Linked DNA regions of Stegostoma tigrinum. The protein of the gene in region 4 interacts with the protein of the main gene of each other region in a pairwise test. Links are inferred from orthologs where the notes say so. Each region holds a gene or a part of one and is shown on either strand. Other genes may lie near its edges. The genes, in order: atpaf2, stk16, ptpn11a and rpia.

Region 1 (7,725 bases), on a different chromosome or scaffold from region 4:
TGGGCTCTTGGATAGGTTTGAAAACAAATGAGAATTTTAAAATTGGGTTAGCAAGCAGAGAAATGGTGGATGAATAGGAATTGGTGAGAGTTAAGATTCAGGCAGATAGTTATGAGCTGAAGGTTATGTGAAGCCAGGTAGGAGTATGCTCGAATGTTGTATAAAAATAAGAAAGACATAAATGTGATTTCAACAGATGAGCAAGGCAAGGATGGAGATCACCATCATTGACTGGATGACTCAAAGAAATTCAACAGTAGGGCGGCACGGTGGCTCCGTGGTTAGCACTGCAGCCTCACAGTGCCAGGGACCCAGGTTCAATTCCAGCCTCAGGCGACTGTCTGTGTGGAGTTTGCACATTCTCCCTGTGTCTGTGTGGATTTCCTCCGGGTCCTCTAGTTTCCTCCCACAGCCCAAAGATGTGCAGGTGGATCGGCCATGCTAAATTGCCCGTAGTGTTCAGGGATATGTGGGTTATAGGGTGATGTGTCTGGGTGGGATGCTTCAAGGGGCGGTGTAGATTTGTTGGGCCAAAGGGCCTGTTTCCACACTGTAGGGAATCTAATCTAATCTTAAATAAAAAACACTACTTTTAAATATCAGACTGGAAAGCACAAGTCTTACCTTCCCCTTGAGAAATGCTAACATCCTGATAAAATTTCTTCCGCTCTAAAAAACAGTAAAATTACAAAAATAATTAGATGACTTTTATTTATCTGTATTTGCTGAAACTTGCACCACAGCAACAGTGCATCTACAATAATATACTCCAAGTGTGCACAGCAATTTAACCCAGTTACAGCATAAGCGACTTACATAATTACCCAAATCAAGCACGATTTTTTGGGACTTCTGTCCAGGTACCTTCAAAGAATCAAGCAAATACCTCTAGTTTGCTGAATTATTACACTGGTCACAGCCACTGAGGCCATTGTAGAACAGTCCTAAAGGGCTCAGAACCTGTACTGTATTCCACCACGTTGCTCATCAGAAAAATTTACTAAAAACTTAAAATTTCAAACAAGCAAAGGAAAGGTGTCTTGACAGCCAGGCCAGGCTAATATTTACTTGACCTTATTCTTGTTCTAAACATAGATTACAACCAAAAACTCTAAAATACCAGTTTTGGATCCCATGCTGCTTAGGAAGCCATTCTATACATATCTTAACAACAATGTGTACAGAAGGCAAGCAGTGGTACTTGTACAGCTAATTTCACAGGTTGTGGACAGAGAGTGATTTACAGCCAACGTGCGGCCTCTTCTGGGGTGCTCGAGCCCATCTGTTTATGACAACGATAAAAGAACATTTTCATGACTTTTGTTAGAGGATAAACACTGGACAGAATTTCCCTGCTCTTCTTTAAATGGTCTAGAACTTTTGCGGCCACTTGAGTGGTCAGAGGGAGCTCCAGTTTAATGCCTCGTTCGAAAGAACTAACTCTGTGAGCTATGTTTTTTTTGTATCAACCTGGATTCTGTATTCGAGTCTGTGGAACAGGATCGAATCTACAATCCTGAAGCTCAGAGGCTCAGGTGGTCCCACGGACACACGGCTGACTCTCTGTAATCGATTCCCAGTTTCCAATCTGAGATAATGGGAACTGCAGATGCTGGAGAATTCCAAGATAATAAAATGTGAGGCTGGATGAACACAGCAGGCCAAGCAGCATCTCAGGAGCACAAAAGCTGACGTTTCGGGCATAGACCCTTCATCAGAGAGGGGGATGGGGAGAGGGAACTGGAATAAATAGGGAGAGAGGGGGAGGCGGACCAAAGATGGAGAGTAAAGAAGATAGGTGGAGAGAGTATAGGTGGGGAGGTAGGGAGGGGATAGGTCAGTCCAGGGAAGACGGACAGGTCAAGGAGGTGGGATGAGATTAGTAGGTAGCTGGGGGTGTGGCTTGGGGTGGGAGGAAGGGATGGGTGAGAGGAAGAACCGGTTAGGGAAGCAGAGACAGGTTGGACTGGTTTTGGGATGCAGTGGCGGGGGGGGGGGGGGGGTGGAGAGCTGGGCTGGTTGTGTGGTGCAGTGGGGGGAGGGGACGAACTGGGCTGGTTTAAGGATGGGCAACTCATATTCCACCTGGGAACCCTGCAGCCATATGATATCAATGTGGACTTCACCAGTTTCAAAATCTCCCCTTCCCCTACTGCATCCCTAAACCAGCCCAGTTCATCCCCTCCCCACACTGCACCACACAACCAGCCCAGCTCTTCCCCCCGACCCACTGCATCCCAAAACCAGTCCAACCTGTCTCTGCCTCCCGAACCGGTTCTTCCTCTCACCCATCCCTTCCTCCCACCCCAAGCCGCACCCCCAGCTACCTACTAACCTCATCCCACCTCCTTGACCTGTCCGTCTTCCCTGGACTGACCTATCCCCTCCCTACCTCCCCACCTATACTCTCCTCTCCACCTATCTTCTTTACTCTCCATCTTCGGTCCGCCTCCCCCTCTCTCCCTATTTATTCCAGAACCCTCACCCCATCCCCCTCTCTGATGAAGGGTCTAGGCCCGAAACGTCAGCTTTTGTGCTCCCGAGATGCTGCTTGGCCTGCTGTGTTCATCCAGCCTCACATTTTATTATCCCAGTTTCCAATCTCTCAGATTTTCTGAAGAAGGGTCCCGACCCGAAACATGAATTTTCCTGTTCCTCCGGCCCGCTGTGTTCATCAAGCTCCACACGGGGTGACCTCTAACTCCAGCATCAGCAGATCTTACTACCTCTGAATGTTATGACATGTTTGGCTTCCATTGCTCTGGCTCACCCACCCGCTGCTGGATACTGCCGCCGCCACTCCACCGTCCTTCCCATCATCTGGGAACCAACCCCAGGCCTGAGCCGAGGGAGCACCCGGGCCCAGAGACGGCACAACATGGTCCCGCAGCCTCGGCAGAGGAATCGCACCAACGGGGCAACGGCTGCTGCCGTAAATCGCTCACTGAATCCACCACTGAGCTTCGGAAGACATTCACATTCAGCAAATACTCTCCTTCAGGCCGTCGCCATGTTGCTGACCTGCCACCCCGCAAAACATGCGTTGACGGATGTGCCCTGTATCCAATCACAAGGCGGCACACGGGTCAATCAAATAGCAGGGGGCGGGGCTTCATGGAAGCTGGTCGGGGATGATCCAATCACGTGGATGCCTTTTATCAAAAGTTTCCAATCACTGAAAAGTTCCTAACCGTGACTTTACCTCTCAGAGTAGAGGATGTATTTTAATTCCTGTGTAACACTGAAAATTAGTGATAAATAACAATGAATCTCTTTCTGTAATACCTTTTATGGTGTACAAGTTAATTAACCACTTTCTGAAGCGTAGTCACTATTTTAATGTAGGAAACACAAGAGCCAGGTTGTATGTACACCATAAACAGTAATGGAATTAAAGGCCGGATCAGCATACTCCTACTAAAGTTCTGATTGAAGCTCGTATCATAAGATTTGTTTCCTTGTGCTCCAAGTGCCATGTCAGCTTTTGCGTAAAAATGAATGAATACGAGATTTCAAATTACAAGAGAAACAGTTATGAGCTAACTGGATATCAAAGTGTGGGGCTGGATGAACACAGCAGGCCAAGCAGCATCCCAGGAGCACAAAAGCTGACTTTTCGGGCCTAGACCCTTCATCAGAGAGGGGGATGGGGAGAGGGAACTGGAATAAATAGGGAGAGAGTGGGACGCGGACCGAAGATGGAGAGAAAACAGGATAGGTAGAGAGGAGAGTATAGGTGAGAAGGTAGAGAGGGGATAGGTCAGTCCAGGGAAGATGGACAGGCCAAGGAGGTGGGATGAGGTGGTAGGTAGGAAATGGAGGTGCGGCTTGAGATGGGAGGAAGGGATGGGTGAGAGAAAGAACAGGTTAGGGAAACAGAGATAAGCTGTGAGGCTGGATGAACACAGCAGGCCAAGCAGCATCTCAGGAGCACAAAAGCTGACGTTTCGGGCCTGGACCCTTCATCAGAGAGGGGGATGGGCAGAGGGAACTGGAATAAATAGGGAGAGAGTGGGAGGGAAACCGAAGATGCAGAGAAAACACGATAGGTAGAGAGGAGAGTATAGGTGAGAAGGTCTCTGATGAAGGGTCTAGGCCCGAAACGTCAGCTTTTGTGCTCCTGAGATGCTGCTTGGCCTGCTGTGTTCATCCAGCCTCACATTTTATTATCTTGGAATCTCCAGCATCTGCAGTTCCCATTATCAGAGATAGGCTGATGGGGGTGCGGCTTGGGGTGGGAGGAAGGGATGGGTGAGAGGAAGAACAGGTTAGGGAGGCAGAGACAGGTTGGACTGGTTTTGGGATGCAGTGGGTGGAGGGGAAGAGCTGGGCTGGTTGTGTGGTGCAGTGTGGGGAGGGGATGAACTGGGCTGGTTTAGGGATGCGGTGGGGGAAGGGGAGATTTTGAAACTGGTGAAGTCCACATTGATACCATATGGCTGCAGGGTTCCCAGGCGGAATATGAGTTGCTGTTCCTGCAACCTTCGGGTGGCATCATTGTGGCACTGCAGGAGGCCCATGATGGACATGCCATCTAAAGAATGGGAGGGGGAGTGGAAATGGTTTGCGACTGGGAGGTGCAGTTGTTTATTGCAAACTGAGTGGGGGTGTTCTGCAAAGCGGTCCCCAAGCCTCCGCTTGATTTCCCCAATGTAGAAGAAGTTACTCCGGGTGCAATGGATACAGTATACCACATTGCAGATGTGCAGGTGAACATCTGCTTGACATGGAAGGTCATCTTGGGGCCTGGGATAGGGGTGAGGGAGGAGGTGTGGTGGCAAGTGTAGCACTTCCTGCGGTTGCAGGGGAAGGTGCCAGGTGTGGTGGGGTTGGAGAAGATTGTGGAGCGGACAAGGGGGTCGTGGAGAGAGTGGTCTCTCTGGAAGGCAGACAAGGGTGGGGATGGAAAAATAGCTTGGGTGGTGGGGTCGGATTGTAGATGGCGGAAGTGTTGGAGGATGATGTGTTGTATCCGGAGGTTGGTGGGGTGGTGTGTGAGAATGAGGGGGATCCTCTGGGGGCGGTTGTGGCGGGGGCAGGGAGTGAGGGATGTGTTGCGGGAAATGCGGGAGACACGGTCAAGGGCGTTCTCGACCACTGCGGGGGAAAGTTGTGGTCCTTGAAGAACGTGGACATCTGGGATGTGCGGGAGTGGAATGCCTCATCCTGGGAGGAGATGCGGCGGAGGCGGAGGAATTAGGAATAGGGGATGGAATTTTTGCAGGAGGGTGGGTGGGAGGAGATGTATTCTTGGTAGCTGTGGGAGTCAGTGGGCTTGAAATGGACATCAGTTTCTAGTTGGTTACCTGAGGTGGAGACTGAGAGGTCCAGGAAGGTGAGGGATGTGTTGGAGATCGCCCAGGTGAACTTGGGGTTTGGGTGGAAGGTGTTGGTGAAGTGCATGAACTGTCAAGCTCCTCTGAGGAGCAAGAGGCGGCGCTGATACAGTCATCAATGTAATGCAGGAAGAGGTGGAGTTTGGGGCCTGTGTAGGTGCGGAAGAGGGACTGTTCCACGTAACCTACAAAGAGGCAGGCATAGCTGGGGACCATGCGGGTGCCCACGGCCACCACCTTTGTCTGTAGGAAGTGGGAGGAATCGAAAGAGAAGTTCTTGAAGGTGAGGACGAGTTCGGCTAGGCGGATGAGGGTGTCGGTGGAGGGGGACTGGTCGGGCCTGCGGGACAGGAAGAAGCGGAGGGCCTTGAGGCCATCTGCATGAGGAATACAGGTGTATAGGGACTGGACGTCCATGGTGAAAATGAGGTGTTGGGGTCCAGGGAATTGGAAGTCCTGGAGGGGGTGGAGGGCGTGGGTGGTGTCACGGACGTAGGTGGGAAGTTCCTGGACCAAAGGGGAGAAAATGGAGTCTAGATAGGTGGAGATGAGTTCGGTGGGGCAGGAACAGGCTGAGACAATGGGTCGACCATGGCAGGCAGGTTTGTGGATTTTGGGAAGGAGATAGAAATGGGCCATGCGGGATTGGGGAACAATGAGGTTGGAGGCTGTGGGTGGGAGGTCCCCTGAGGTGATGAGGTCATGGATGGTGTTGGAGATGATGGTTTAGTGGATGAAGTCATGGATGGTGTTGGAGATGATGGTTTGGTGGATGAGGTCATGGATGGTGTTGGAGATGATCTCAGGTAACCAGCTAGAAACTGATGTCCATTTCAAGCCACCGACTCTCACAGCTACCTAGAATACACCTCTTCCCACCCACCCTCATGCAAAAATTCCATCCCCTATTCCCAATTCCTCTGCCTCTGCCGCATCTGCTCCCAGGATGAGGCATTCCACTCCCGCACATCCCAGATGTCCATGTTCTTCAAGGACCACAACTTTCCCCCCGCAGTGGTCGAGAACGCCCTTGACCGCATCTCCCACATTTCCCGCAACACATCCCTCACACCCCGCCCCCGCCACTATTGCCCCCAGAGGATCCCCCTCATTCTCACATACCACCCCTCCAACTCCGGATACAACGCATCATCCTTCGACACTTCCGCCATCTACAATCTGAACCCACCACGCAAGCTATTTTTCCATCCCCACCCTTGTCTGCTTTCCGGAGAGACCACTCTCTCCGCGACTCCCTTGTCCGCTCCACACTCCCCTCCAACCCCACCACACCCGGCACCTTCCCCTGCAACCGCAGGAAGTGCTACACTTGCCCCCACACCTCCTCCCTCACCCCTATCCCAGGCTCCAAGATGACCTTCCATGTCAAGCAGATGTTCACCTGCACATCTGCCAATGTGGTATATTGTATCCATTGCACCCGGTGTGGCTTCCTCTACATTGGGGAAACCAAGCGGAGGCTTGGGGACCGCTTTGCAGAACACCTCCGCTCAGTTCGCAATAAACAACTGCACCGCCCAGTCGCGAACAATTTCAACTCCCCCTCCCATTCCTCAGACGACATGTCCATCATGGGCCTCCTGCAGTGCCACAATGATGCCACCTGAATGGTGCAAGAACAGCAACTCATATTCCGCTTGGGAACCCTGCAGCCCAATGGTATCAATGTGGACTTCACAAGCTTCAAAATCTCCCCTTCCCCCACTGCATCCCAAAACCAGCCCAGCTCGTCCCCTCCCACCACTGCATCCCAAAACCAGCCCAGCCTGTCTCTGCCTCCCTAACCTGTTCTTCCTCTCACCCATCCCTTCCTCCCACCTCAAGCCGCACCTCCATTTCCTACCTACTAACCTCATCCCGCCTCCTTGACCTGTCCGTCTTCCCTGGGCTGACCTATCCCCTCCCTACCTCCCCACCTATACTCTCCTCTCTACCTATCTTGTTTTCTCTCCATCTTTGGTCCGCCTCCCCCTCTCTCCCTATTTATTCCAGTTCCCTCTGCCCATCCCCCTCTCTGATGAAGGGTCTAGGCCCGAAACGTCAGCTTTTGTGCTCCTGAGATGCTGCTTGGCCTGCTGTGTTCATCCAGCCTCACGTTTTATTATCTTGGATTCTCCAGCATCTGCAGTTCCCATTATCCATGAGCTAACTGGAGCTGTGGACTGTGTAGCCCCCACATCCTGAGAGATTTCATCCTCTTAAAACGGGTGCCAGATGAAGTAGTAAATGTGCTTGCGTTAATTTTGTAGACTTTGTCAGATTCTGGAAAAGTTCAATCAGACTGGAGCATGGCAGCTATAGTTGGTTTCTGAAGCATAACTCTTAATTTGAAAACGTTCCTCTTGAGATGTTGCCTATCCGTCCCACA
Region 2 (8,016 bases), on a different chromosome or scaffold from region 4:
TTTGTAGCTGAGTTGACTAGACATTCTCCCTATTTATTCCAGTTCCCTCACCCCATCCCCCTCTCTGATGAAGGGTCTAGGCCCGAAACGTCAGCTTTTGTGCTCCTGAGATGCTGCTTGGCCTGCTGTGTTCATCCAGCCTCACATTTTATTATGTTGGTTTGTGATATGTTGTGATGCCAACAACCTGGGTTCAATTCGTACAACAGCCAAGGTTACTATAAATAAACTGTCCCTCTCAACCTCTCCCATCACCTAAGGGGTAGTGACCTTCTGGTTAAACCACCACTCATCTCTCTCTCTCTCATGGGCGAGCAGCTCCACAGCCTGGTTAAAACTATGGTGACTTTAAGTTTTGAAAACAGACACCAACAAGTGACCCTTAAAATGAACTTAAATGCCACTGACAGCAGTTGAAACAATTAATCTGATAGGAAACAATACAATCAGCGTAACTAGTAGTCCCAAAAGACACTGATGCATCACAAAGATTAGCAAAACTCTGTTAATAGTTACACAATAACCAGGATCAGGGTCAGCTAGAAGTGGAAATTAACTTCCAACTGTTTCACTTAATTCCAACTTGAAAGCAGAGACTGCCTGTTCCTTCTTGCAACAGCATTTCCATTCATGTAACTAGAGTGGGATATGATTAAAGTTTAATTTGTGTCCTAGTTTTACACAGTGTCCTGAACGACAAACAGTTCGGTGACGTGTACTACATAACACAGGGTGTTTGTTACTATACAGTTTTGTAAACTTGCTTCCGAGGAAATATCTTTTCAGACCTTCCTGTGGTGAGACTGTTGAATAATTTAAAACCCTCTTATCTGAATAGAAACCATAAGATCTGCAGATGCCGTAAATCAGAAACAACAATAGAGATTGCTGGAAAAGCTCAGCAAGTCTGGCAGCATCTCTGTAGAGAAATCACAGTTAATGTTTTGGGTCTGGCGACCTTCCTCAGAACTGAAGGTAGCTAGGAAAGCGAAGAAGTGTCTAGGCCAGAAACATCAGCTTTCCTGCTCCTCTGATGCTGCCTGGCCTGCTGTGTTCATCCAGCTCTACACCTTGTTATCTTGTAGCTAGGAAAATGTTGGTTTACATGTAGAAGGTAGGGTGGGGTGATGGAGTTGTAAACGATAGGTTGGGATACAGCCTAAAGAGAAAGAAGAACATTTGGACAAAGGAGTGGATAACCATCTGGCTGGGAGGGTGAATAGCTGTTAATGGGGGCTGTTATTGGTTAACAATGGGTAGCGTATAAAGACAGGCTATGTGATAACAAGGCCTCACACATGAGATTAGGGGCTAGGACATGGGAGAGAGCAGGCTGATATTGAGTCCAGAGGGCTGCAAGGTCCCCAAGCAGAAAACCAGGTGTTATTCCTCCAGCTTGCACTGAATTTCACTGGTAATGCTACAGCAAGCCTGAGACAGAGATGTTGGCCAGGGGACAGGGGGTGTGTTAAAGTGGTAAGAAATTGGAAGAGTGTTTTTTTTTGTGGGCAGAAGGTAGACGTTCTGTGATGCGGTCACCCAGCTTACACTTGGTTTCCCAAACGTAGGGGAAAGCACATCGTGAGCAGTGAATGCAGTGGCTCGACTGTGGGATGTGCAGGTAAAGTGCTGCTTCACCTGGAACGTATGTTTGTGCCCTTGAATACTGAGGAAGGAGGTGGTAACTGGGCAGGTGTTACATCTTCGATGGTTGCAGGGGAAGGCACTGTAGGGCTGGCGGTGGGGGGGGGGGGGGGGGGCGAGGAGGAGGAAAGAGAGGGGGGTGTGCTGTTGTGAGTTAATGAAGAGTGTCCTAGGGTATCCCAGAGGGAAATGTCCCTGCAGTCCCATGGCAATTGGGTCATTGTATCAACTACAGTCACAAACCTTATTTCATCTGATGATCTTCCTCACCCCACTGTCTCCACCATTAGACACTGTGCCTTGATTATACAAACATTTTCATGATCAACTAATTTAAGATTATCTAGTTGGGCTCACTTGTGTTTCCTACAAAGTACATATACACATATGCAGGGGATCCTGTCCTCTGCAGAAAGGGTGCACATGTACAGACTCTGCACCTGTTACAATGAAAGAAAGGCAAGGGGAGTATATATTGTGCTCCCGAGATGCTGCTGGGCCTGCTGTGTTCATCCAGCCTCACATTTTATTATCTTGGATTCTCCAGCATCTGCAGTTCCCATTATCACTGGGAGTATACACTGCCTGGTTTATTTCTCCATAGCAACACTTTGATCAGTCAGTCAACATCCCAACTAGTCAATATCACTTACTGTTGCGGTATAAATTGCTATTCTCTGGGCAGTTTGACGTTCTTGTGATTCTGCCCTGAGGAGTGCAAGATAATTTTTTTAAAAAAGGAACTTCATCAGCTTGTCACTCTATACCAGGGGGGGTCAAATAAAGCACACTGCACCACAAGTAGGAACAGGAGCAGGTTAATCAGCCTTCCAAAGGACGTGCCCTAACTGCAGGGAAGACTGAGAGAGAGAAAAACAGGAGAATGCTATCCGGCACCCCCATATCTGCTTCACTATTCGACAGGGTCATGGCAGATCCTATTATTTACTTTTGTTATCCTAAGGGTTTAATGCAATTAAAAAAGCAACTTTTGGTGGGGGGGGGTGGAAGGGTGATTGAGGAAGCTCACAACAAATAACTGAGCATGCGCATAACGATTCTCTTGAAATCATGCACCTGGATCCGATGGTGCCCATGCGCCACCCCAAAGCCTCATGGGTATTGTAGTTCCCTCCCCCGGCCGACCTATTTCTCAACCTGACGACGCGTCCCCAACCCCTCGTTTGGAAAGTCGCGGTTCGCTTTCCCTTTTTAAAAAATATATATATTAAACACACACAAAGCAATTACAGTCTCCCCTACCGCCGTTAACCGATGATTTTCTTCACCGTCAATCACTTCACGAAGGAGACCGCGCCACAAAGACTCCCGGCTGCTGCCACTGGCGGCTCACAGGGGCGCCGCCGCTGCTCGCGGCCGTCAGGTCTCGCGAGAAGAGCCGCCAGTCCTCCCGGACACCACCCTGGCATCTCGCGAGAATTGGAGCCCCGGGAAATTTCCCCCACCACGTGCTGGTTGCAGGGCCAGGACCAAGCCTCGAAGTGTGCCCCCGAGAGATGGCGGTGCCAGTTTATTCTTGCTTTTAAAGTTACTCCTCCAACAGATAAAATTGCATGCAATTTACAGAATTCCCTACAGCATGAAAGGAGTTCATTCCGTCCACACCAACCCACCAAAGGGAATTCCACCCAGACCCTGTACCTCCCAAGGCTAACCCACCTAACATGAACATCTTTGTACCATGGGGGAGAAAAAACACAGGGAGAACATGCAAACTCCACACGGAGTCATGTGAAGCTGGAATCAAATCCAGCTCCTTTGCTAACCACTGAGCCACCGTCACGCCCCAATTGCCTGTCCCCTCCCTCCCTTTCACAATTGCGAGCAGCAGCAGAGGCAAGACGGACCCGGAAGACTGCAGCTAAGGTAAAGCAGTTTATTTTTAAAATTACTTACCGGTAGCGGGCAGCGGTGTTTTTTTTCCTCTTTCAGAGAAGGAGCGGGAGCATCAGAGGAAGTGACGAGGACCAGAGGGGCAGCCGGGAAGGAAAGCAGTGAGTATAAATACTCACCCTTCGACGCCAACGGCCATTTTGAGTGCGAGCAGCAGCAGAGGCAAGACGGACCCGGAAGACTGCAGCTAAGGTAAAGCAGTTTATTTTTAAAATTACTTACCGGTAGCGGGCAGCGGTGTTTTTTTTTTCCTCTTTCAGAGAAGGAGCGGGAGCATCAGAGGAAGTGACGAGGACCAGAGGAGCAGCCGGGAAGGAAAGCAGTGAGTATAAATACTCACCCTTCGACGCCAACGGCCATTTTGAGTGCGAGCAGCAGCAGAGGCAAGACGGACCCGGAAGACTGCAGCTAAGGTAAAGCAGTTTATTTTTAAAATTACTTACCGGTAGCGGGCAGCGGTGTTTTTTTTCCTCTTTCAGAGAAGGAGCGGGAGCATCAGAGGAAGTGACGAGGACCAGAGGGGCAGCCGGGAAGGAAAGCAGTGAGTATAAATACTCACCCTTCGACGCCAACGGCCATTTTGAGTGCGAGCAGCAGCAGAGGCAAGACGGACCCGGAAGACTGCAGCTAAGGTAAAGCAGTTTATTTTTAAAATTACTTACCGGTAGCGGGCAGCGGTGTTTTTTTTCCTCTTTCAGAGAAGGAGCGGGAGCATCAGAGGAAGTGACGAGGACCAGAGGGGCAGCCGGGAAGGAAAGCAGTGACCATATATATCAGCAAGGCGGCTTAACCCGAGACTCTACAACTGTAGTGTCTCCCACCCGCCGCCCTCCTCTAACCTAGTTAATAAGGTAAGGTTCATTCTAAACTTTCTCTATTGAACATAAGTTTGTTATTAATTTGTTATTATTACTTGAAGTGAGCTTTCTGCTTTAGTATTGAGTGGGTGTTCAGATAAGTGGGGTATGGATGCTAGGGCAGTTGCTTGCTCCTCCTGCAAAATGTGGCAGTTGGGAGATGTGGCACACGTCTCCGCTGGCTACATCTGCGGGAAGTGCACCCAGCTACAGCTCCTTGAAAACCGTGTTAGGGAAATGGAGCTGGAGCTGGATGAACTACGGATCATTCGGGAGGCAGAGGGGGTAATTGAGAGGAGTTATCGGGAGTTGGTCACTCCTAAGGCTCAGGACGAGGATAGATGGGTTACAGTTAGGGGGAGGAAAGGGGACAGACAGACAGTGCAGAGATCCCCTGTGGGCATTCCCCTCAGCAATAAGTATACCGTTTTGGATACTGCTGGGGGTGTTGACCTACCAGAGGAAAGCCATAGTAGTCAGTTCTCTGGCACTGAGCCTGACACTGTGGCAAAGAAGGGAAGGGGGCAGAATAGAAAAGTACTCGTGGTAGGGGACTCGATAGTTAGGGGAATCGACAGGAGATTTTGTGGGCAAGATCGGGATTCCCGGAAGGTATGTTGCCTCCCTGGTGCCAGGGTCCGGGACGTCTCCGATCGGGTGTATAAAGTTCTGAAAGGGGAGGGTGAACAGCCAGAAATCGTGTTACATATTGGCACAAATGATATAGCCAGAAATAGGGTTGAGGATATAAAAAGTGATTTCATGGAGTTAGGATGGAAGCTGCAGAGCAGGACGAACAGAGTAGTGTTCTCTGGTTTACTACCGGTGCCACGAGATAGCGAGGTGAGGAACAGGGAGCGGGCGCAGCTGAACACGTGGCTACGCAGCTGGTGTAGGAGGGAGGGCTTCAGATATGTTGATAATTGGGATGCCTTCTGGGGAAGGTGGGACCTGTACAAGAAGGACGGGTTGCATCTGAACTGGAAGGGGACCAATGTCCTGGGTGGAAGGTTTGCTCGAGTAGTTCCAGAGGGTTTAAACTAGTATGGCAGGGGGGTGGGAACCTGAGCTGTATACCAGAGGTGAGCGTTGATGCAGGTGAGGCAGTAGCAAGAGGTAGACCAGCTAGTGGGAAGGATTTTCCTGGGAAGGAACCAAGGGATCGGTTAAAGTGTGTTTGCTTTAATGCAAGGAGTATCAGGAATAAAAGTGATGAACTTAGAGCATGGATCAGTACCTGGTGCTATGATGTTGTGGCCATAACAGAGACATGGGTTTCTCATGGGCAGGAATGGTTGCTGGATGTTCCAGGGTTTAGAACATTTAAAAAGAATAGGGAGGGGGGAAAAAGAGGAGGGGGTGTAGCACTACTAATCAGAGAGAGTATCACAGCTACAGAAGCTTCCATTGTCGAGGAAGATCTGCCTACTGAGTCAGTATGGGTGGAAATTAGGAACAGCAAGGGAGTAGTCACCTCGTTAGGGGTTTACTACAGGCCCCCCAATAGCAGCAGGGAGATTGTAGAAAGCATAGGTCGACAGATTTTGGAAAAGTGTGGACGCAGTAGGGTTGTTGTAATGGGTGACTTTAACTTTCCTAATATTGATTGGAACCTCCTTCGAGCAGAAGATTTGAATGGAGCTGTTTTTGTAAGGTGTGTTCAGGAGGGTTTCCTAACGCAGTACGTTGACAGGCCGACGAGGGGAGAGGCCATTCTAGACTTGGTGCTCGGAAACGAGCCGGGGCAGGTATCAGATCTTGTGGTGGGAGAGCATTTTGGTGATAGTGACCATAACACTCTCTCATTCTACATAGCTATGGAGAAGGAGAGGATTAGGCAGAATGGGAGGATATTTAATTGGGGAAGAGGAAACTATGATGCGATTAGACACGAGTTAGGAAGCATGGACTGGGAGCAGTTGTTCCATGGTAAGGGAACTATAGACATGTGGAGATGGTTTAAGGAACAGTTGTTGGGAGTGATGAGTAAATATGTCCCTCTGAGACAGGCAAGAAGGGGTAAGATAAAGGAACCTTGGATGACGAGAGCGGTGGAGCTTCTAGTGAAAAGGAAGAAGGTAGCTTACATAAGGTGGAGGAAGCTAGGGTCAAGTTCAGCTAGAGAGGATTACATGCAGGCAAGGAAGGAGCTCAAAAATGGTCTGAGGAGAGCCAGGAGGGGGCACGAGAAAGGCTTGGCAGAAGGAATCCGGGAAAACACAAAGGCATTTTACACTTACGTGAGGAATAAGAGAATGGTCAAAGAAAGAGTAGGGCCGATCAGGGATAGCATAGGGAACTTGTGTGTGGAGCCTGAGGAGGTAGGGGAAGCCCTAAATGAGTTTTTTGCTTCTGTCTTTACGAAAGAATCGAACTGTGTAGTGAATGAAACCTTTGAAGAGCAGGTGTGCATGCTGGAATGGATAGAGATAGAGGAAGCTGATGTACTGAAAATTTTGTCAAACATTAAGATTGACAAGTCGCCAGGCCCGGATCAGATTTGTCCTCGGCTGCTTTGGGAAGCGAGAAATGCAATTGCTTCGCCACTTGCGAAGATCTTTGCATCCTCGCTCTCCACTGGAGTCGTACCTGAGGACTGGAGAGAGGCAAATGTAATTCCTCTCTTCAAGAAAGGAAATAGGGAAATCCCCGGCAATTATAGACCGGTAAGTCTCACGTCTGTCGTCTGCAAGGTGTTAGAATGGATTCTGAGGGATAAGATTTATGACCATCTGGAAGAGCATGGCTTGATCAAATACAGTCAACATGGCTTTGTGAGGGGTAGGTCATGCCTTACAAACCTTATCGAGTTTTTTGAGGATGTGACTAGTAAGGTTGATGAGGGTCGAGCTGTGGATGTGGTGTATATGGACTTCAGTAAGGCATTTGATAAGGTTCCCCATGGAAGGCTCATTCAGAAGGTCAGGAGGAATGGGATACAGGGGAACTTAGCTGCTTGGATACAGAATTGGCTGGCCAACAGAAGACAGCGTGTGGTAGTAGAAGGAAAATATTCTGCCTGGAAGTCAGTGGTGAGTGGGGTTCCACAGGGCTCTGTCCTTGGGCCTCTACTGTTTGTAATTTTTATTAATGACTTGGACGAGGGAATTGAAGGATGGGTCAGCAAGTTTGCAGACGACACAAAGGTCGGAGGTGTCGTTGACAGTGTAGAGGGCTGTTGTAGGCTGCAGCGGGACATTGACAGGATGCAGAGATGGGCTGAGAGGTGGCAGATGGAGTTCAACCTGGATAAATGCGAGGTGATGCATTTTGGAAGGTCGAATTTGAAAGCTGAGTACAGGATTAAGGATAGGATTCTTGGCAGCGTGGAGGAACAGAGGGATCTTGGTGTGCAGATACATAGATCCCTTAAAATGGCCACCCAAGTGGACAGGGTTGTTAAGAAAGCATATGGTGTTTTGGCTTTCATTAACAGGGGGATTGAGTTTAAGAGTCGTGAGATCTTGTTGCAGCTCTATAAAACTTTGGTTAGACCGCACTTGGAATACTGCGTCCAGTTCTGGGCGCCCTATTATAGGAAAGATGTGGATGCTTTGGAGAGGGTTCAGAGGAGGTTTACCAGGATGCTGCCTGGACTGGA
Region 3 (7,537 bases), on a different chromosome or scaffold from region 4:
GGGTTCTCCCCACATTGCCTTGCTGCACAACTCCTCTGATGCATCTTCTCCCAGTACAACAGATACTCCTTTGCCAGGAATACTTCCCCACCATTTACCTCCATCACTTACGAAACATGGGAACATTCAGCTATCTCTTTTTCAGCCCAATCTCTAAATTGCAATAATGTAATTGTTCCAAGTACTAACCAAGAGGAGGGGAAGCAGGTGGAATTTAAGGGAATGTTAGAGAGACAGAGTAATAAACTCAAATGTCACAACAATAGGCAAAGGGAGAGTTCACGTTGTAGAGACAGCTAGGTGCAGATTAGATGTTTAACAGTAGCTGTTAAGAGCATAATTAAGAGGTCAGCACTGCGGCATGCAAAACCTAAAAACAATGGAGAGAGGGCAGGAAACAAAATGGAGGAGAGAGTTCACGGTCTGAAATTATTCAATGCAACATCAAATCTAAAAGGCCTAAGTCGAATAATACAAAGGCCTTCAGATGCTGGAGGTCTAAAACAAACAAATAGCTGGAGAAACTCAGCATCTGAAAATGGTGTTAACGTTGAGTCCAGTGACTTCTTTAGGCCTAAATGGAAAATGCTCCAGCTTGCAATGGGTTTCACTCAGACACTACAGTTGACCTAGGGCAAAAGAAATTCTAAGAGCTAAATGGTGTACTTGTGTCAAGTGACAGAAGGTTGGTGTCATGCTTGCAAACCGAGGTGCGTTCTGCAAAGTGGTGTCCCCAGCGAAGTGGAGGCTACATTATAAGCATTGAAGCCAGTAGACTAGATTGAAAAAAGAAAGCACAAGTAGATTTACATCTCCTGAAAGAAATATTAAGGGCTTTGGACAGTAGGAGAGTGGTGATAAAACAATGTATTGCATTTCCTGCCATTTATAAAAAAGTGCTTCGGGAGGGAGATGAAGAGTTGGGGCAATAAAGGGATGCCAGAATGTCAAAGGTAACGGTCCCTTCAAAATAGTGAGAGCAAATGTAGCCGAGGTAGCTGTGGGAGTTGGTGGATTTGTAACTAATATTAGTAGACAGTCTATCCCTGCAAGAGGGGGCAAAGACAGAAAAATTAAGGATTAAAGGAAAGAGTCAGAGATGGGCCAGGTGAACTTGAAAGACTAGAAATTGAAAGCAAAATGGATTAACTTTTCCAGTTCTGGGTGACAGCAGGCACTGATACAGTCAAAGTACTAGAGAAAGAGTTACGTGAGGATACCCCCAGACTGGGAAAAAAACAAAACCCATAAAAACACAAAGTATCACTTGAGCGCACATGGATAAGTGGCCACGTGGTATTTGAAACTCTCATGGCCAATACAAAAGATGGAGCTCTGAACTGGGGGGGGGGGGGGGGGGGGGGGGGGGGGGGGGGGCAGCAGTGAGCCTATTTAAAACTCAGGTAGATTACCAGAAACTTACAGCACATCAGAAATGAAAATTTAAGACAAAAAAGTGACATACCCGAAAAGTGAAGACTAAGCAGGGCATATCATGACTTGATAAAAAGTACACATAATAGAAATTGCAAAGTATACTGGTCAGAGAGAAGGTAAACATGAATCTCACTTCAAAACTCTATCAGCATTCACATCAAAGGATAAGAACTCAAAAAGCTGACACTAATTTAGTGTTAAACTGCATCTGGAGTTCCCTATGTCCAGTTGGGGAACAATTCTCTGGAACTACAGAAACAGAAACTGGATCAATTCCAAGAAGAATGGGTAAAGCAGGAAGTTGAAAAGCTGGAAGAAAGGCACAAGAGTGGCTGCACGAAAAACTTGCACTGCAGAACAATAAAGCAGAACTTGAAGTATTTAAAGAGCAACTGCAGTGTGCTGTTTAGCTCAGAGACAACATTTTACAGCCAAAAAATACTTGTGCTTAAAGGAAGAGAACAAGTTAATAAACTGTAAAGTGTTCATTTTTAAAATATGATTAACATTGATCTTTAGGAAAACAGATAACTGGAACTGTTACACTAATATAAAGGCAGACCATTTTTCTTTTAATTAATAGGACATTGTTTCTGTTGGAGAAAGTAATAGGAACTAATTGCTGAATGTGCAAGGGGACCTCACTGTTCTAACTTTGTTAAAAATTCATCGGAGGGATGAGGGCGTTGCTGGCTAGGCAGCATTTATTGTCCATCCCTAATTGCCCAGAAGGCAGTTAAGAGTCAACCACATTGCTGTAGGTCTGGAATCACATGTAGGCCAGACCAGCTAAGGGCGGCAGTTTCCTTCCCTAAAGGAAATCAGTGGACCAGATGGGGTTTTTCCAGCAAATCGACAATGGATCCACAGTCATCATTAGACTCAATTCCAGATATTTATTGAATTCAAATTCCACCATCTATGGCAGGATTCAAACCCAGGTCCCCAGAAGGTTATCTGGGTCTCTGAATTAACAGTGTAGCAATAACATCACTAGGCCATCACCTCCCCATAACTTAGTCATGTGACCAATGGACTGCTATTGTGTTAGGTACATGGAGATGCAAGAAATAAAATGGAGTTCCATCAAGTCTATAGTCTAAAGTATCATCATTTTGACCTTGTGGGAATCAAAAGACTGACTCAATGCTACCCAACTCCCTTACCTCACTAAAATAAAATTATAGATGCTGGAAATCTGAAACAAATCAAAACAAATTACTGGAGAAGGTCCACAGGTCTGGCAACATCTGTGCACAAAAAAGTCAACTTTTCAGGCCCAATGACTCATCTTCAGGACTGACTGTCACAGGGAAAATGGGATTACATCACGCTGAAAACAGGGGCTGGGGAATAAACAGCAGGTAGAGATGCACCCAGAACAGAACAGTAGTTGGCAGACAAAGGAATGAGTGGATAGTCACCTGTGTTCTGTCCAAAGAAAACCAAAATGACCCTGAGCTTCAAGGCACAACTGTGTGCTCTGGCTAACATTTCTCCCAGGGGTGCTGCAGTGCTCCAGCTGGAAGAACTGCATTTCATTTTCTGCTTGGGGAACCTGCAGGCTTCAGAACTCAATACAGAGTTCACTAATCATAAGGCCCGAGCACCTTCTTCCATGTCTTTTACATCCCTCACACAACCAGCCCCACCTTGTCATCACTTTGGCTGCTTTCATCACAGCCAATCCATTTTTGGCTTTAGTAGCTATTTCCAATGCTGACCATTATCCATTTGTTTAATTATCCAAAAGCTGTTCTTTCTCTGGGCCTCATCTCCACCTCCTTCCCCTCTCCCATCTCCCACATATATGCCAGCTTTTCCCAGCTACAATTAGTTGTGAACCTGTTTTCTCACCACAAATGGTACCAGACCCAGCTGAATTTGTTCCTTTGTTTGCTGTTTTGCCCTGCTTCATTTATGCTGTTATACTTACCCAAGCCCTGAACCAAATAATAAAGTAGACCCAGAACCTCACTGCTCTATTAGATCAAGATCTGACCTACAATGCACTCCTTTGCCACAATTCTGTCTGAATTAGGTTCTCATACTTTTAAACTTTTTTTCTATTTTCCTTTTCATGACCAAATTGATTCAGCTTCCAATGTTTGAAAAAGAAAATTCAATTTGCTAACTTTGTTGTGACAAAATTGTAACAAGTGTCACAAAACCGTCTTTATGGAACCACGGAAAAGTTGTAGCATAGAAAGCGGCCATTCAGCCCGTCACGTTCACGGCAGTTGAGAGAAAACTATCCCATCTTCCAGCACATTCAAAGAAAAACCGTCCAGATAGTTTGAAGGTTTCTGAAACAAGAACCCGAAGTAGTTAAATTCAGCACCTCTAACATTATCTGCTGAGAGAGAAGCAGCGCTACTGTTCAGTGAACCTTCTTCAGAAATAGACAGCAACGTTCTTCGAAACTAATTCTGATGAAGGCTCACCAGGCTAGAAGCGATAACTGTTTTCCTCTTACTCCTCAGATGCTGCCAGAGCCACTAACTTTCTCCAGCTTTTGCTTTTTGGGGGGGCATTACATTATCGGAGGTTTCGGCCTCGACCACCAGAATGGGTGGAACATTCTAGACCATGCCTCCACCTACCGTGAAACATTTCTCCCCACATACCGCCCTAATCCTTTTACTTTAGATCAATTAACCCCGATTAATGAATGAATAAATTCAAACCAGTAACGACCTGAATTATTCTCAATCAAACGTGGGCTGAACAGTCTTGGTTTCTGAAGTGACAAAGCCTCTCCGGGTTGCAATGCCTCATAACACACCCCCACTTCCAGAGGTTCACAATACGCATGCGAAAAACTCTGCGCGCGCGCACTTTATGACACGTCCTGCCAATAATAAACATGGCGGCCCCCAAATCGGCTCAGTGAACTGGTCTGGTGGAGTGACGTCACCGGGTCTTCGTGTGGGTTTGGGAACAAGAAATGCAAATTTTACACATGCGCGCCGGAGAGTTTCGGGGTGTTAACTCGACATTCTCTGCCCTAGCGTGATAATTCATTATTCTTTCGATGTCTACTCTCAGCCTTGCAGGGAAAGGGGACGCCGCTGCGTCATATCCGTGCGCGGGTCGGTGTGTTGGAGACGTAGATTTCCAGCGCCGTAGGCCGGGAGGGGGTAGGTGGAGATGACTTTTTTCCCCCCGCGACGCAGTCGCTGCGTTTCTAGTTAGTTCCTCAGCTGGGTAGGGAGAGACACACACACACAGAGACACAGACGCTGGGCGGGAAGTGCCTGAGATCGAGTTAGGTCCTCTTGCCCCATAGGAGCTGCCGCAGAGGCAGAGTGCCTACCAACTCTCGCACCCATCACCGGCGGAGGCAGAAAAGAACCGGCAGGCCAGTGTGAGAGGGAGTGCCCTCCGTCCATCACCATGACATCCCGAAGGTGGGTGAGCGGGTGTATGAGGGAAGAATGGGTGTATTGGTGAGGGGAGGCGGGTGGGAATACTGCGGGTATTGGGCGGAGACTGTGGCTATGCCACAACAGGGGGAATCTGTGAAATATGGAACTCGCTGGGGAGTGCTGACATTCAATGATAACCTGGCCTGAACTTAAGGAAGCCTGAGGGAGCAGAGGGGAAGTTTCACAAATGGGCTGTAGCCAGTCACTGAACAAAAATACGGCGCTTGGAGTATACAGCTAGGCTCAAACATTGCTGTCAATCCCTCACTGACCTCTGCGACAGCTACCTGTACTTAAAAGTCGTTGGTCAAAGACTGGTGTGCTGTGTTGACGATTGTATTGATTTTGCATATTCACCAATCGCGGATGAATGTGCAAACATAACAGTAAAACTAAGGATAGGTGACTATATCCCAACAAGTAGAACACTCGTAATGCTGATTTGGAAGCTTTTCGTCTGTACGATGCCTTAAGGTGTATATATGCACTTGCCCACAAGGGCAGAAAAGAGCCCAGTGTTGTGTTGATAACAGGAGATGCGAATGGGAGGGATCAGAGCTTGTGTGAAAATACTGTTTTTTTTTTGTTTAATTCCAAAGATATTCACTAAGGATTGTGGAATAAGGTACTGAGCAGCCTCTCTCAAAGCTATTTTGTAAGGCAAGATTCATCACGTTGAGGGATTTGGATTTATGAAACAAATTTAATTTGGTCAGATTATTCTAAAACTGTGCCTGATGCAAAGAAATTAAAATTAAATATTAAAAATTTAAATTAAATATTAAAACTAATATGCAAACTTCAGGGCTAAGGTAAGAAAAGGCAATGATTTTTAAATGTGAAATCTAAAAATGTGAAATTGAAGTTAAATTATTTTTCCTAATTACTCTGAACTCTGTCAAGGAGGGACAGTTCATTTTATCTGTTTTTTTTCTGAAAACTGAAATGCTGCCTTTTTTATAGAGCACTGATTGGATCATTATGTGAAGGTGTTTGGCAAAGGACCTTCATGGATTGCAATGAAGAGGAACAAGAATAGTTCTAGTTTAAACATTAAAGTGCGAATTAAATATCTAAAGTCATTGTCAGAGGAAAAAGAGATCTGAGATGAGGTATGGTCAAGGCCTTAGTGATAGCTAGACATAACTGGTAAAATGGAGTATATGCTTTAATCTAGGACCAGAAGGCAAAACTACAAAATTATCAAGATGTTAGTGATCCCCACAGCTTTCATAAGCTTTCTTGCAACCCGTGTCTCATTTGGTCAAAAGACGTGTTGTTGCCTCCAACTGAAAGCCATTTGTTCCACGTCATCTGAATTTCTTGAAACCCTGCCTAGATGAAGATTTAAATAGGCAGAATTATCTTGGATTAACTAAAGTTGACGATAATTGTGCTGTCTACAAAAAATAACTTTAGGCCATGGGGTGTTACTTTCAGAGTGTAGCCTTCTGAGTAAAATTGTATTCCCTTCAACTGTTGGATCTTGCTTCCTTGTTTAGGGTGTCAGGGTAAAATGTCAGTACTTTTACTTCTTGGAAATACTGACTGTGGTTGCATTGAACTGCCACAGGAACTTCAGTTATGTCAAGGTTTAATAGTACAATTCATGTGGAAGTGTGGGGTTGATTCAGCCTTTTTCAATTGCACATTTTTCCAAACATGGTACATAGCAGACCCACCCACATTTACTGATATGGAGCATTGCTAGACAGAGAAAAGGATCAGAATGAAAGGAAATGACACTGCATGTTGTATGCAGAAAAACATGAGTGAACGAGGGTCACATTCACATGTTACTGCAAAAGGACCGGCACATAGCAGATTGGCCAAAGAGGGTGAGAACATCTAACAGGTAATGCTTTTGTGATGGTACAGAGATAATGACAGCACTGAGCAGGAAGAGTTGCTATACAACTGTGTAGAAACAACAACTACTGATGTTTGTAAAGTGCTTTTGAATGTAGTAAAATGTCCCATGCTGTTCACATAAATTTGACACCATGCAGTATAAGAGATATTGGGGTAGGTGACCAAAATCTTTGTCAAAGAGATCATAAGGAAGCCGAAATATAGTGAAATGGGGTCTTTGGCTACTGAAATTTTGATCATCAGTGGTGGCTTGATTTAAAATCAGGAATGCTCAAGAAACTGGAATCTGAAGATTACAATTAGTCAGAAGGTTGTAGTGCTGGGGAAGATTACAGATCTTCTAATTTATGAATCAGAGGCAAGACCATGAAGGGATTTGAAAATAATTAAAATTTTACAGGGGCCAATGTGTTTCAGTTAGTGGGAAGGTGATGATTGAACTGGATTTGGTGCAAGTTAGGACATCAGCCATCGAGTTTAGGATTCCTTGAGTTTACAGAATGTAAGAAGCCAGCTAATGATCTGTTGAAATACCTTTTATAGTAATAAAGGTATCATTGAGAGATTCTGCAGCAGATGAACTGAGGCAGCAGCAGAACTAGGTGATGTCTTGGAATGCAAATGAGTGATATTAGTGATGTGGTTGTATGGTCGGAAGCACATCTTGGAGTCAAATGTAACACCATGGTTGCAAACATTTTGGTTTACAAGTACTATGCGCAGTTTTGGCCTTACTTGAGGAGGGATCGAGTTGCATTGGAGACAGTTCCGAGGAGGTTCACTCGATTGATCCTAGAGAT
Region 4 (7,169 bases):
AAGTTACAATTAGAAATCACTGAAGGTTTTTTGGATCAAGCAGGGAGAAACTCCTCTCCCCGCCCCCTACACATCCCCCCAATAACAGACAAGAGCAGCAGGAACCAAAACAGCTAAACAAAAATCAAAGGAATGAGAGAAGGCCAGGAGAATTTATATACATGGTGAGCATGTGAGGAGACTACGCTAGGAAGTGTATCAGACTATAATTGAACAGCACAAAAGATCCACAGACTTGCTAAGTATAATACAACCTCACAAACAAATTTTTAAAAAAAAATCACACAGAAGGAGAATAACTACGTTGGATCGAACAGAAAACTTCTGTAAACTATCATTCAGTAACCCTCTAAATAAATTCACAAAGCTAAGGGTGAGGTGTTGGGGAGGGGATAGGGGTTAGGAATTATAAAACAATGCTTCTTTCAGATACAATAGCAGAGACAACAAACACAAAATGAAGGCAATTTCATAGCTTGATATCTTAATCAGCACCCACCTATTCTGTCCACAGCATACACTATCGTGGATCCACTTCCGATACCCAATGCTTGGTTGTTCTGAGACAAAAACAACAAACAGGATCAGTTTTTTCAGGTCAAAGTGACATCGTGTTCTTTGTTGTCAGGTGTAGCTGCTCCCACTGTGAATATTCACAAACAAAATTAAACTAGGTCCTAGAACATGTAATTTCCTGTAATAAACGTGTTGAATGGTGCACAAAAGTGTGAACCCAAGGCATTCCGAACAGCATTACTGTTTTGATTCAGAGATAGCAGGAACTGCTGATGCCGGAGAATCTGAGATAACAAGGTGTGGAGCTGCATGAACACAGCAGGCCAAGCAGCATCAGAGGAGCAGGAAGACTGACGTTTTGGGCCTCGATCCTTCTTCAGAAATAAAATCTTCTTCAGTTCCATGAAATTCAGATTTCTTGTTCAAATACTTGAACAACTGGCTTGGCAGCAGTCCTTGATAGCACTCTGGAACAGTTATCAGTTTACTGCTTGCCCCCAGTGATATGCCAGTCTAGTTACTGCACACCAAGTTGACCTGAATGACCCTCAGTCCTGTCCATTCTGGCTTAGCCATGCAATACTTGTGTTATTGCTATAACTATCATTTGGACACACTTGTGCCCATTGGGATTTGGTGTTTTTTTTTGCTGCTGTGTCAAAAATACCAGCATGTTCCACTGAAAAACTGAAGTATAATTCATTGACCAAAACTGAGAACATGGAATAGCTGCGGAAATTAAACTGAGGTGCGTCAGTGTAAAAGCTGAGGGAAGGGAATGCAGTGGGAAACTCTATAAATCGGCAAATTTAAAGAAACAGAAAAACCAGAACAATGAACTTTACACTGAAAATGATATTCAGAAGTAATTCAGATTGCACTGTCAAAAATCTGGGAAAATCAAAATCCAACAGTCTCAGTCCTGAGGGTACCAAATTTTAGATATGGGACCTGTAGTACTGCCAAGCCACCAAAACTGACCAACTTTATTTTTTCTGAAGAAGGGTCCCGAACCAATACGTCTGCTTTTCTGCTCCTCTGACGCTGCCTGGCCTGTGTACATCCAGCTCCACACTGTGTTATATCTGACTCCAACATCGGCAGTTCTTACTATTCTCCAACTTCCATCTTATGTGTGGACCTGCACTTGCTGCAAAAGTCACTGGGAAATCAGGGAGTACTGGAAAGTCAGCACATCTGGTCATCAGATGAGACATTACACCTAGGGCATATGCCACTTAGTTTAATGCCAAGAGCTAGAGTTCTGCCTGGCATCCTGGCCAAAATCTATCCTTTGTCCAACATCAATGAAATGAATCATCCCATCGTCATCATTTTGGGAGCTTGCTGAGCCACATTTCCAACATTGGAACAGCCGAGGCGACACTTCAAAAGTATTTAACAGGATGCAAAAGAGCATTGATACTTTCTGACATTGCGAAAGATACTGAACAAATGGGTGTTTCTTTCCTTGTTGCACAATATCCACACAACAGATTGGTAGAATCTGTAAGGGGTTTAGTTTTCTTTATCTCTCCTAACCAGAAGGTCAACAGCAGAACCTTCACAAACTACTATATGAAGGCAACATTGTTGAGGGGGGTTTCTGTCTCGCCTGGGCTGCTAACCATGGGGCAGTTCTCACTGCACAATTGAGGAAGCATTAAATTTCAGGCGCAGCATACGGTTGACGAGGGTACAGAACTCTGATTCAGCCAAATCCTCGTTTACACAACTCACACTAAACAAAAGTTAAGTGATAAAACTCAGCAGAAGTCAGTCCCTCACAGCTGTGATCTGTGGCCATGAGTACGCGGGAATTTCAGAAGGGTAAACCTCTCCCAGACCCCTTCACATTTTACAAGGGAGCAGCACGCTGGTTTCAAAAAGCAATTTAGTGTAAATGAATTTAAAGACTCGTCTAAAAACTCTGTCCTTCACTTTTAGAACTGGGCATAAAGACTTTATCAAAGGAGAAAAAAGTTTGTTCATTAAATAAAAAACACAAAAGTCATATTTGTGAACTTTTCCAGAGCTATCTGCTGAGCAACATATTCACTGTTTTAACCCCGGGCTGTAAACGTAAACCTACAGTTTAGTACAGGGCAGTAGCAATCCATTGGAAACACATTATCATCAACCCCCTACTCCAGCCCCTCATCCCCTACGTAGTTCAAAATACCGTCCAGAGAAAACTGACATGTCTGTGAAATAGCAACACAACTGACTTAGTGCAATTTTTTTAAAAAATGAAATGTGTATTAAAATGCATCCGTGGTACATTCTTTGCTCACTTGCACGTGATTATCCACAGCCATGTAACCAGCTTTCCTTTTTGCTTCTTCCTCCATGCCTTCGGTGAACTTCCTCTTCAGTGTAAGAAGCTGTAACTGTTGATGCCGCGGAACCGCTCTTAACCCGAAGCGCAGCCCCCACGAGCAGACTCCAGGAAGCCTCAGCCACATTGCCACTCCCCTCCCCACCTTGCAGAGCAGAGCAGCTCGGGATGGGGCTGCAGCTCGTAGTCAACCTCCTTTCTCAGCTGGGAAATGTAGTCTTCCATGCTAAAAGAATAAGACTACATTTCCCAGCCTGCACTGTCTTGTGTTTTGTCATTAAAGCTGAATTTGGTTTTTGCTGCACACTTTTCCTTCTGGAACTGTTACTGTTTCATGCATTCCACAGGGTATTGTGTGATCATTTGGGTAAAAATAATGGGGGAAAGATACAAAACAACAGGAGATTGGCTTGAGGTAATAATGCTTATTTGAGGAGCTGTTGCAAACACAACAGACCAAATTGTCTCCTTTTGAGTAATAACACGTATGATGCTGTTTTACTTCACCTTGCAATTTCTTTGACACCATCGCACAGTTAGCACTGCTACCTCGCAGCGCTAGGGACCTGGGTTCAATTTTAAGCCTTGGACAGCTGTCTTTTTGTGTTTCCTCCGGGTGCTCCTGTTTTCTCCCACAGTCCACCAATGTGCAGGTTAGGTGGATTGGCCATGCTAAATTACCCTGCAGAATCTGGGTATGTGCGGGTTAGGTGGATTGGCAATGGTAAATTACCCTGCAGAATCTGGGTATGTGCGGGTTAGGTGGATTGGCCATGCTAAATTACCCTGCAGAATCTGGGTATGTGCGGGTTAGGTGGATTGGCCATGCTAAATTACCCTGCAGAATCTGGCTATGTGTAGGTTAGGTGGATTGGCCATGCTAAATTACCCTGCAGAATCTGGGTATGTGCAGGTTAGGTGGATTGGCCATGCTAAATTACCCTGCAGAATCTGGCTATGTGTAGGTTAGGTGGATTGGCCATGCTAAATTACCCTGCAGAATCTGGGTATGTGCAGGTTAGGTGGATTGGCAATGATAAATTACCCTGCAGAATCTGGGTATGTGCAGGTTAGGTGGATTGGCCATGCTAAATTACCCTGCAGAATCTGGGTATGTGCAGGTTAGGTGGATTGGCCATGCTAAATTACCCTGCAGAATCTGGGTATGTGCAGGTTAGGTGGATTGGCAATGGTAAATTACCCTGCAGAATCTGGGTATGTGCGGGTTAGGTGGATTGGCAATGATAAATTACCCTGCAGAATCTGGGTATGTGCAGGTTAGGTGGATTGGCAATGATAAATTACCCTGCAGAATCTGGGTATGTGCAGGTTAGGTGGATTGGCAATGGTAAATTACCCTGCAGAATCTGGGTATGTGCGGGTTAGGTGGATTGGCAATGATAAATGTAGAGTTATGAGAATAGGGTAGGCGTCTGGGTAGGATGCTCTTTGGAGGGTCAATGCACCAATGGACCAAATGGTCTCTTCCTGTGCCGTTATGATTCAATGTGTTAAATTATAAAGTTAGATTTTCAAATGAACCTGTTCAAAGATGTTATTATTCATGTCTAGAGCAGATGCATTTTAAATCCTGGATACTATCACTGACCACAAGAGCCCCTTAGAGTTAGATTTCATTGCTATAAATGTCATTCACTTGTTCATGAAAGGATATTATTTTTCATTAGATTTTCATTAGAACCCCACCTAACCTGCTCATCATTGAATTGTGGGAGGAAACCGGAGCACCCGGAGGAAACGCATGCAGACACGGGGAGAATGTGCAAACTCCACACAGACAGTTACCTGAGGTGGGAATCGAACCCGGGTCCCTGGCGCTGTGAGGCTGCAGTGCCAACCACTGAGCGACCGTGCCACGGTGCATTATGAGTAGCCCAAGTACATTATGATTGGAAACAAAACAAAATATTGACAATACAGATGTGTCTTGAGCGGAGGTATTGTACAGAAAATAGCAGCAGGACATCATCCCAAATAACTTAACAGCCAGTGAAGGCATTGTTGGAGTGTAGAAACCTCCAAGTTGGAAAACCAGCACAAACAGCAAAATAATAATGACCTGCTTTTGTGTTATGAATATTAGTGATAACACAGCTGAATTTCTGGAACGGGAACATGTTGATCACATCCCTTGTAAACATTTGGTACCTGAGTTCCAAAACATAAGTGACAACATTAATAAATATTTCCTCACTAACTTGTGTAGAGGCATTGTTACACACTTCCGGAGCAAGTGTGATTTGAATCTGAGTCTCTTGGTCCAGAGACAGTGTCACTATCACTGCGCCACAAGAGCCCCAGTTTGCATTTGCACCGAAATCTCAGTGTGTTCCAACTCCAAAAGTGTTTTATAGCTAATGGATCATTTTTTCAGAATGTTTTTCAGTATGTTTACATCGTCAGTTGTACAGTGCTTTGGGATATTCTGAGGTGATGAAATAAACCATATCAAAGATGTGGATGCTTTGGAGAGGGTTCAGAGGAGATTTACCAGGATGCTGCCTGGACTGGAGGGCTTATCTTATGAAGAGAGGTTGACTGAGCTCGGTCTCCTTTCATTGGAGAAAAGGAGGAGGAGAGGGGACCTAATTGAGGTATACAAGATAATGAGAGGCATAGATAGAGTTGATAGCCAGAGACTATTTCCCAGGGCAGAAATGGCTAGCACGAGGGGTCATAGTTTTAAGCTGGTTGGTGGAAAGTATAGAGGGGATGTCAGAGGCAGGTTCTTTACGCAGAGAGTTGTGAGAGCATGGAATGCGTTGCCAGCAGCAGTTGTGGAAGCAAGGTCATTGGGGTCATTTAAGAGACTGCTGGACATGTATATGGTCACAGAAATTTGAGGGTGCATACATGAGGATCAATGGTCGGCACAACATTGTGGGCTGAAGGGCCTGTTCTGTGCTGTACTGTTCTATGTTCTATGTTCTAAATGTGCATTTTCATCTCCTTATGCTATTATTCCAACTGATTCAGAGAAAAACAGTTAAGTTGCTGGCTGTTAACAGCAAAATATTTATCTCCAGTTTTGAAAGGAAAGGCCATAGCCCACAAGCTTTAGAACATTATGTATTGCAGCCGGTTAATAGCTGACACCCACGACAATTGGAAACAATACAGTTACTCCCTCCATTACAACAATTCTCAGGAACTACTCTCACCATGCTGGAAAGGAAATGAATGTTCCATCCTATTGAGTTTGCATAAAGCTATAATCAAAGGGAAAAGTCAAAAAGAAAATATTGGAACCTGAAGGAGGTGGATAAAAAGACTTCACTTGTAGGCAGTCACAGAGTGTTTACAACACAGAAGGGAGTTATTCAGACAGTTCTGAGGACGGGTCACCAGGTCCGAAACATTAACTCCGATTTTTTTCGTCACAGATGTTGCCAGACCTGCTGAGCTTTTCCAGCAACTTTTGTTTTTCTTCCTTATTCAGACATTTAGCGGTGCAACACAGCCTGTCCCACTCTCACTGCCTTTTCCCTACAGCCAGGCTGCCAAAAGTTGCCGTCAACTGCTGCCTTGGTGATCCTGTCACATGGTTGGGAGTGAGGAGCGCAATCAAACTCCTTCCTAGTAGCAAGGATCCAAAACCAATGCTAACCCAGCTGAGGTCTTCAAAGCTGGAGGTCAATAGCTGATGAAGGAGCTCCCTGAACCCTTTCAGTGTAAGTGGGAGCAAGGGACCATCCTGCCAAAGCAGAAAGGTGTCTCCATTGCTCCCTTGTGTAAGTGAATCTCAGAGCATTCATAGCATATTCTCAGTCTCCTCTATTGACCCACAAAATCTTCATTGGAATTCTTCTGAAGTGCTCAGTGCAACAGGATCTATGGCTAGTAAGTGAAAGTGGTTTCAGAAAAAGTCAAGGCATCACTGATGGGGATGTTTGCAGTTAGAAGATCCAGGAGAAATGCCAAGAACAGAATAAGGGCCTCTGCATCACTTTGTTGACTGGACCACGGCCTTTAACACAGTCAGTGGGAGGGCCTTAGAAAGGTCATGCCAAAAATTCAGCTTTCCTGAAAAATTCATCACAACAACTGAACAATTCCATGACAATACACTCATTATAGCAGCACTGATGTCTATGACATGTAAGTGCTCCTCTTTTTTATGAATAGTCTTCTCAACAGCCTGTTTTTTTTGTGTTGTTAATTTGAAGGTGTTCCACTTGCCCAGCAGGAGTTTTCCCATTTGCTCACTAAGCTCCTCGTTTGCTTCCTTGCTGAGCGTCTAACTGGGAATGCTCCTACAGATCCCCCCTTCCAAATGGAGTCACTAACTGCCAGC

Evidence for each region.
Region 1: the proteins of rpia (region 4) and atpaf2 interact in binary tests that used the Homo sapiens proteins (3 or more experiments, as listed by UniProt). The two-hybrid records come from large-scale screens. The link is inferred for Stegostoma tigrinum from reciprocal best matches to the Homo sapiens genes RPIA and ATPAF2.
Region 2: the proteins of rpia (region 4) and stk16 interact in binary tests that used the Homo sapiens proteins (3 or more experiments, as listed by UniProt). The two-hybrid records come from large-scale screens. The link is inferred for Stegostoma tigrinum from reciprocal best matches to the Homo sapiens genes RPIA and STK16.
Region 3: the proteins of rpia (region 4) and ptpn11a interact in binary tests that used the Homo sapiens proteins (3 or more experiments, as listed by UniProt). The two-hybrid records come from large-scale screens. The link is inferred for Stegostoma tigrinum from reciprocal best matches to the Homo sapiens genes RPIA and PTPN11.

Annotation. Positions count from the first base shown.
Region 1 is NC_081376.1:20,185,341-20,193,065, forward strand, and holds the start of atpaf2 (ATP synthase mitochondrial F1 complex assembly factor 2), read right to left. Parts: upstream 3,062-7,725; 5' UTR 2,881-3,061; coding exon 2,775-2,880; intron 670-2,774; coding exon 625-669; intron 1-624. UniProt on the Homo sapiens protein: Plays a role in the assembly of the F1 component of the mitochondrial ATP synthase (ATPase).
Region 2 is NC_081360.1:100,738,164-100,746,179, reverse strand, and holds the start of stk16 (serine/threonine-protein kinase 16), read right to left. Parts: upstream 3,020-8,016; 5' UTR 2,908-3,019; intron 1-2,907. UniProt on the Homo sapiens protein: Membrane-associated protein kinase that phosphorylates on serine and threonine residues. In vitro substrates include DRG1, ENO1 and EIF4EBP1. Also autophosphorylates. May be involved in secretory vesicle trafficking or intracellular signaling.
Region 3 is NC_081379.1:13,632,145-13,639,681, forward strand, and holds the start of ptpn11a (tyrosine-protein phosphatase non-receptor type 11), read left to right. Parts: upstream 1-4,532; 5' UTR 4,533-4,833; coding exon 4,834-4,847; intron 4,848-7,537. UniProt on the Homo sapiens protein: Acts downstream of various receptor and cytoplasmic protein tyrosine kinases to participate in the signal transduction from the cell surface to the nucleus. Positively regulates MAPK signal transduction pathway. Dephosphorylates GAB1, ARHGAP35 and EGFR.
Region 4 is NC_081354.1:175,268,310-175,275,478, forward strand, and holds the start of rpia (ribose-5-phosphate isomerase), read right to left. Parts: upstream 3,019-7,169; 5' UTR 2,982-3,018; coding exon 2,811-2,981; intron 561-2,810; coding exon 500-560; intron 1-499. UniProt on the Homo sapiens protein: Catalyzes the reversible conversion of ribose-5-phosphate to ribulose 5-phosphate and participates in the first step of the non-oxidative branch of the pentose phosphate pathway.